2 linked regions of the Saccharomyces cerevisiae S288C genome follow. The gene in region 2 interacts genetically with the main gene of each other region. Each region holds a gene or a part of one and is shown on either strand. Other genes may lie near its edges.

The links.
Region 1: mutations in ICE2 (region 2) and PSD2 together harm fitness more than expected from each alone (negative genetic interaction), as found in Saccharomyces cerevisiae (4 studies listed by BioGRID).

What each region holds. Positions count from the first base shown.
Region 1 is NC_001139.9:835,494-839,253, reverse strand, and holds the start of PSD2 (phosphatidylserine decarboxylase 2), read right to left. Parts: upstream 2,113-3,760; coding exon 1-2,112. Other genes in the region: LSO2 (Lso2p), read left to right, coding at 2,589-2,867; pseudouridine synthase PUS6, read left to right, coding at 3,351-3,760. UniProt on the Saccharomyces cerevisiae protein: Catalyzes the formation of phosphatidylethanolamine (PtdEtn) from phosphatidylserine (PtdSer). Plays a central role in phospholipid metabolism and in the interorganelle trafficking of phosphatidylserine.
Region 2 is NC_001141.2:191,543-195,302, forward strand, and holds ICE2 (Ice2p), read left to right. Parts: upstream 1-2,052; coding exon 2,053-3,528; downstream 3,529-3,760. Other genes in the region: rRNA-binding ribosome biosynthesis protein UTP25, read right to left, coding at 1-1,653.

The sequences.
Region 1 (3,760 bases), on a different chromosome or scaffold from region 2:
AGTGGATTTTCTCCATGACTGTAGCCCTTCAACTAATTGTGATCTAGTAATGCTCTGGCCGGCCCAAGCAGATTTATTGAAATGCTGAAAGAGTTCAAAAGAATCGGCCATCGTGAATGAACCAAGACGTTCAAGATAGAGCATTACTTGAATAATGTCGAGTCTCTCTAAGTTGACTGATGTGTCAACAGCTTCTTTCCAAAAGCTCTTTTTTAAGAACGGATATGAAACATATTTGAAGCTCGAATATAATACCGGTTGCTTAGGAGCATGTGCTGGCTCAACAGTGAGATCCAATGGTATCTCATAAGGTATCCATTCGTTTTCATGTTGTTGCTGTTGCAGCATATCAAACCAAGCCAGTTCGCATTTTGCAACGTCATCATTGAATGAAAATGAGTCTTTATCAACAACTTTGATACTGAAAGCAAAATTCGTTTCATGGGGAAAAACTTCGAAAGCGGCATATTCATTAAATTCTGGGTTTAAAGTATGTTTTCTCCAAGATGTCTTGAATACTCTTCTACCAAACGAAATAACGATAAATGGATCCATTTCATAATTAGTCTTGGACAACCGATTCCTTAATGCAGGTAAATTTTTGATAGCCCCAATATGCATAAATACTACCCCCATCGCATGTTCCTTTTTCGATATAAAAAAGTTACTTTTTGCTCTTCTGTATAAGTAATTTGCATATGATTTATTATGTTTACCCCTTTGCAGGTGTAAAAGCCGACTCCCAATGTATTCTTTTGATTGAAAATCAGAATCTTCACGCTCATCCTCATTATATATATCAAACTCCTCATCACTTTCCTGTTGGTTTTCAGATTCTTCGTCATCCACTGATGTTATGTCATTTTCCGACACTGCAGGTAATTTTGCAACATCTTCTGGTTCTACGATATCATATTCATCTAAAGCTGTTATCATTGAAGATAGACTGATACGGGTATCTTCGTCGATGTCATGCACATTTATGTCTGGCACATTTGGATGATCTGCTTCTTCAAAATCATTTAGAATATCTAGTTCTTCATCATTTAGCGAAACAACCTCAGATATAGAGTCGAATATAGTATCATTGTCTATATCGTACCTCCTCTCCGTACAAATGCTGCCGCTGCTATTCATATCTTCAATAGATTCCTCAGCATCTATTTCATCCTCGGCATTGACCTCTTCATCGTGGGCTAGATCAGTATCGCTATATGGTTTCTCGCGTCGTATTTCATTTCCACTAACAGCTGAACTATTGCTCAACATATCTTCTAGTGGAGGTGGCAAAGAACTAGAAGATCTCATGCGGGCCTTATTTCTATCTATTCTGCCCAAGTAAGTGTTCAACTCATTTCTCCAAGCATTGAAAGCCTGAAAAGTCGGGGTTCTTTTAACGTTACATTCTAGCTTAAATCCAAGCAAAATATCGCCCACTAGAAAGTTGCAGTTCAAGGAATCTTGGTCTTTCCCTCCTTTCATATCGTATAGATGGTACCGCTGAGCTTCAATTGAAAATTTATAGCTCGTCGTGGTGTCCTTCCTCTTGAATAAATCCAGTAATGAAATTTTTGCTTCACCCAAATATAGATAGCTATTAATCCTATTTTTGTGTGTGGACCCGGGACCTGTTGTTGAGAGAGAAGAGGAAGAATGTGAAGGGGCCGGTGTAGCTGAAGATGATACTGAATTAATTGATGTTGAAGTTTGATTACCTTTGGACGTAACATTCAAATTTCTCGACGAATGAGAGTGAGAACTTAGCCCTGAATTTGACAGTGTCGATGAAGATGTATTTGCAGTGGTTGTCCTTGGTCTACTGGGGGTAGTAGGGGGAGCTCCGGTTGGTAGGGCGTCGTATACTATAATCCTTAACCATTCAGATGTTGGATTTCTCGGAAGTTTGATCCTCAAGGTTTGATTCCAGTGTGTATTTGAGTTCTTGAGCTTGTTCGTCTTTTGACTATAAAATGTATTAGTGGTAACAAAACATACCGGGTTACAATTGAATGTCTTCAAGGCTTCAATATTTTCAGCTTGAATGACATGAATTTTTAAAATTAGCGTTGGCTTCTTGTTCTTGCCTCGCTTTCTGCCCTTAATAATCCTCATCTTCGTCGTTGGATGCTCCTGAAAATCGAGGATTCTTTACCAATTGATACAGCATCAACCACTTTGGGCTAGTTTTAGCATCAAATTGGAATAGTTGTCATATATAAGAAGAATTCCTTGAAGTAGCACATGCGTTAGGGCTAGGATCTCAAGTTTCCAAGAGTTTGACATGTGCCCTGCTTTTTTGTCTTTCTCCTTCTTCCAAACCTCATTTTAAAGTAACATAACCTTTGTATTTTTCATATTAGCCCTTAGTTTTTTTTTACCCTAAAAAAATTTTTTTTTTTTTCTTTGAGTCGTGAAAGCTTTTTTTTTCCAGTTAAAGACCCCTCAAAATGAAAAACTTGTATAATGTTTAAAATAAAGCTGAATAAGTTGAAACTCAAGTTTATATTTAATAGGTAAAAGAATTTATCAATTGAGCACAAAACCTGCCTATACAGGAAATAATAGAATAGCAAAGAGGAAGTAAAAAGATGGGTAAAAGATTTTCAGAATCCGCCGCAAAGAAAGCAGCTGGCTTAGCAAGAAAAAGAGATCAGGCACATGCTAAACAAAGAGCACAAATGGAGCAGCTAGAAGCGGAGGAAGCTTCTAAATGGGAACAAGGTTCGAGGAAAGAGAATGCCAAAAAATTAGAGGAAGAGCAAAAAAGACAAGAAAAAGCAAGAGCTAAAAAGGAGCGCGATGCGTTGCTAACCGCAGAGGAGGAGCAACTGGGCAAGGGTGGCAAGGGTAAAAGAAAAATGAAATAAATTTGAAGAATCTTAGCCTTATAGCGGCTAATAATTGCATATGATAAAGTCATTCCCACTTTATCTCCATAAACATAAAAACGCAAGACAAATAACGACAATAAAAGTAACAGTGGTAATAATAATACTTCTGTATGAGGATGCTTATCTTTTGCGGGTTGAGTACAAAAATACACATGGTAAGAAATCACTGTTCAACGTTATAAGAATAAAGAGGGACGAGGAAGGATAATGCAAGTGTAGTTTACAGTAAAAAGAATGACTTTATGGTACTAATGGTATGAATAGTTGAAATTATGTACATTAGATTTGCATATGTATGTATATATAGCTTGCTGTCATACAAGAAGATTGATAACAATGATAAAAGTTAATGAAAAATTTACTTTTTTTCTTTCATTAAAAGGCAAATAAATGTTTCTTGTGAAAACTTTATTGACGATTGCTCGAGACAATCAGTGGGCAAAAGGATGATTGTCAAGTATGTCAACTATCAAAGTTATTGAGGTATATACACAGAATGGACTGAGAAAGGTACGGCCCTATTATAACAGAAGATCAGCGTTCGTGAAGGGGCGCTGGTTGGGTAAGTTACTAATAGACGTTCTCGTTAGTGAATTTAAACTTCGCCCAAGAGCTTATTATTTGGACCAAATAAGGAAAGGCACATATAGGTTGATCCGAGATGGTGTGCCGCTGGTACCAGATCATCTCATGACTACCATAATCAAGAATCATGATGTTTTAGAAACAACTACGCATAAGCACGAACCGCCGGTAAAACAATGGTGTAGCCAGGAAGTTGAAGCGGAGGATTTACCTGGCAGAATAGCGGGATTCAATATTGTTTTTGAAGATGAGAGTATCCTCGTCATTGATAAACCCAGTGGTAT
Region 2 (3,760 bases):
AATAATCGAATTCCCAATAATGTCAAATCTTTGAAAGATTTGCCTGATTTTCAAACCGGATTGCCCAATACTGGAGTTTTCTGATCCTATTACCTTGTGATTCTTCCATCTTCCTGCCATGTTACGGCATCTACCATTGATTAATGAATTAGCCGCTGGCGAGATGTATTTTGTGAATACCATTGTCTGTCTGAAGAGCTTAGCTTGTTCATTAATGTACCACATCCGAATTCTGCTAAAGTCAGCTTCATGTTGTTGATCCGGGATTTTGTTAAGATGGTCAAAGATGGTGAAAATATGAGATATGTTCTGGTATTCTATTGAATGTAATTGATCAATCACCATCAACTCTATTGAGGACAAAAAATCGTCCTGCCTCTTTTTTTTATCTGTATTTTCTAAGATCATTTGAATACCCAATGGCGAACATACAATAATGTCAGACTGGTAAAAATTGCTATAAAGTTTTATAGCCTTTCTTGTGAATTTGAGACCGACAACAAAAAAATCGTTGGTGTTCCCCCTAAATATGTGTTGGAAAGATTTTGGTTTGGACTTTGGAGGTAAGGAGTCGTCACGGAATTGGTCGTAGAACTTTCCCTTCTTGTCAACCTGATCTATACCAGATTTTGAAATTATCTTATCTACAACGCGGTACGCCACCTCTCTAGTAGGGACTACAATTAACACTTTTGGTCTTGTAAAACCTTGATCTAGGTGTTCAGTGTCTGGGTTATCCTGTAATCTTTGATTATTTTTCAAGATTCTATCTCTTGTCTTGTAGATGTGATTCAAAACATGCAAAGCATATAAATCTCTGTACTCGTCTTCGTCCTTTTCGTAGGAGTCATACTCGTATAATATGTCTTTATACTGAAACATGGGGTCTACTAATTTTTTTTGCAAAGCAGTCAATGGATCAGTTTTTTTATCCAATAGTCCATTTTGCACTTTTAGCCTTTGTTTCAAAAAGTATGAATATATAGATGATGACCTGTACGGACTTTCCACCAATGCTTCCTCACCAATTACTACCGGTTTAGCATATATATATGATTCACTGTCACTTAGTGAGCCCTTTACGGATTTGTATTTTACACTTTTGGTCTTGAAAGCATTCGACAACTTATCAACGAATTTCTCCGGAACTTGGTTGAAATGAGACTCGAAAGGATCTTGCTCATCTTCACTGTCTATATCTTTTTCGTCTCCACTGCTGTCATCGTCGTTATCATCCTCGTGATTACCCAAAAGGCCATTCTCTATCTCCAATTGATCATCCACTGGTCCATGTTCTGTATTTTCGTGCTCATCCTCCCCAACTTCGGCAGGAGCTTTGTTACTCTCGTCAGCCTCTCGCCTTCTTCTTTTTGGCTCTGGATGTTCAGATTTGAGAATCGTCAATAAAGCGTCATAAACTTTTTCCTTTTTACCCTCTTCATCCTCAATATCGAAATCATCGCCACTGTCGACATCGGACACTTCATCCTCATCGGATCTATGGTCAATATCTTCTGCTACGTCCTCTAATGTTTCTGTGCTTCCGCCTTCAGTTCTGGCAGAAGATCTTTTAATCTTCCTCAGTTCTTGTCTTCCTCTTTTCCGATAGCCACGGAAATTATCATTCTTTTCCCTCACAGAACTGTCACTCATTACAATTTGGTCACTTCGCAATTATACCACCGTCTCACTGAACCAATGCAGTTTATTCCCTGTATTATATTATTGCAAAATATGCGATGAGCTAAATTATAGTAGTATTGCGAAGGAAAAATTTTTCAGATCATGGTACACGAGGAATCGCATCAGCTTGAAGCGAAGCAAGGGACTGGAGCGGTTACTGGTTTCGGAGAGATGATTGATGAGAAGATGAACATAGGTAAAGGATCGAGGTGTAGTGATACTGGAAGGGCTGTGCGTAAAGTGTTGGTGGATCTTATAGTATTCGTGAAGCTTCTTTTTCCGTTTTGCTCCCCTCAGCCCATCGCGTAATTGCTTAGATCTATTAGAGAGGTGCTGTTTGTGGCCGATCACGCTAAAGATTAGGCAACGATGACCAGTTTGTCCAAAAGCTTCATGCAGAGTGGACGAATCTGCGCAGCATGTTTCTATCTGTTATTCACACTACTTTCAATTCCAATCTCGTTTAAAGTTGGTGGTTTGGAATGCGGGCTTTCCTTCACGGTGACACTGTTCACTTTATATTTCATAACTACGACTCTTAACGTGTTGGCAAGACGACATGGAGGAAGACTATACATTTTTTTTACCAACTGTCTGTATTACTCACAACATTTTATCATTGCATCTTTGCTATACCTGTTTTTGTCTGGATTTTCTAATGATGAGTTGGGAAACGTTCTGAAAAATAAATATAATGAGTCGGAGTCGTTCCTGGAAGCTTTGAAAAATAGCTTGAATTCCAATCAAATTAACTACGTCTTATATTATTACTACTATCGATTTGTTGTACAACCGTGGCAATTCGTGCTTACCAAGTCCACACCTTTTTTTACTCTATCGGAAGGTTTTTTCACTATTTTAGCCATTCAGGCCGTCGGGGAAACTAATAGATGGTTATCAAATGACTTGAATTCAAACACGTGGATTATTTCCTCATTGTTAACCTCCGGAGGTGTGATTACCGCATCGCTGTACTATTTGTATCGGATTTATGTCACCCCCATATGGCCGTTATCCATCCAAACGGCGTCCTTATTAGGACTTGTTTTGTCTATGGTATGTGGACTGGGGTTGTATGGTATTGTGAGTCAAAAAGGATCCGTCATAGAGAGCTCTTTATTTTTTGCGTATATTGTTCGTTGTATTTATGAAATTTCCCCCAAATTAGCTACTACCGCGACTGATGAAATTTTAAATTTGTTCAAAGACGTCTGGCAGAAACATCAAAGAAATCTGCCCACAGCTGACAATCTTTTGTGCTACTTTCATAATGTCATATTGAAAAATGCAGAGGTGTTATGGGGGTCCTTTATTCCTAGAGGAAGAAAGAAAACCGGTGATTTTCATGATAAACTCATTAGCATTCTATCATTCGAAAAAGTATCCTTGATATCTAAACCATTTTGGAAATTTTTCAAGAATTTCACCTTTAGTGTTCCGCTATCCATTAATGAATTTTGTCAAGTTACAATTAAGATGGCAAGCGAATCAGTTTCCCCAGCTATAGTAATCAATTTATGCTTTAGAGTTCTGATGTTTTACTCGGCAACGAGGATTATTCCAGCATTACAAAGAAAAAATGACAAACAGTTGCGCAAGAGTCGCAGGATCATGAAGGGATTGTATTGGTACAGTCCTTGCATATTAATTGCTATGTATACTCACCTGATTTTACAATATTCAGGTGAGCTAAAGAAAGACCTGTGCATATGGGGTTGCAGTGAAAAGTGGTTTGGCGTAGATCAACCAGAAATTATAGTAGATTCATGGGGATTTTGGAACTGGTGCAACATTTTCTGTACTATTTTGGTATACGCTACAGAATTAATAGGTTCTGGTAGTTGAAGCTGATGCATTGTCAAAAGAGCCGCATTACCAGCTTTGCCAAATACGCGAAGACAAAAAGGAAGGTGAAATACCAACTGACTTATAACTAAGTGATAGATGATATCTGTTTTAAGTGCCATTCCTGAACCATTTTTACATTTGGTTAGTTTCTTTTTTTGTTATTATTTGCATTAGTCCCTTGCACGTTCATAGTGAAAATCCCTTACGCTCACCACTATTTTCTAATAAA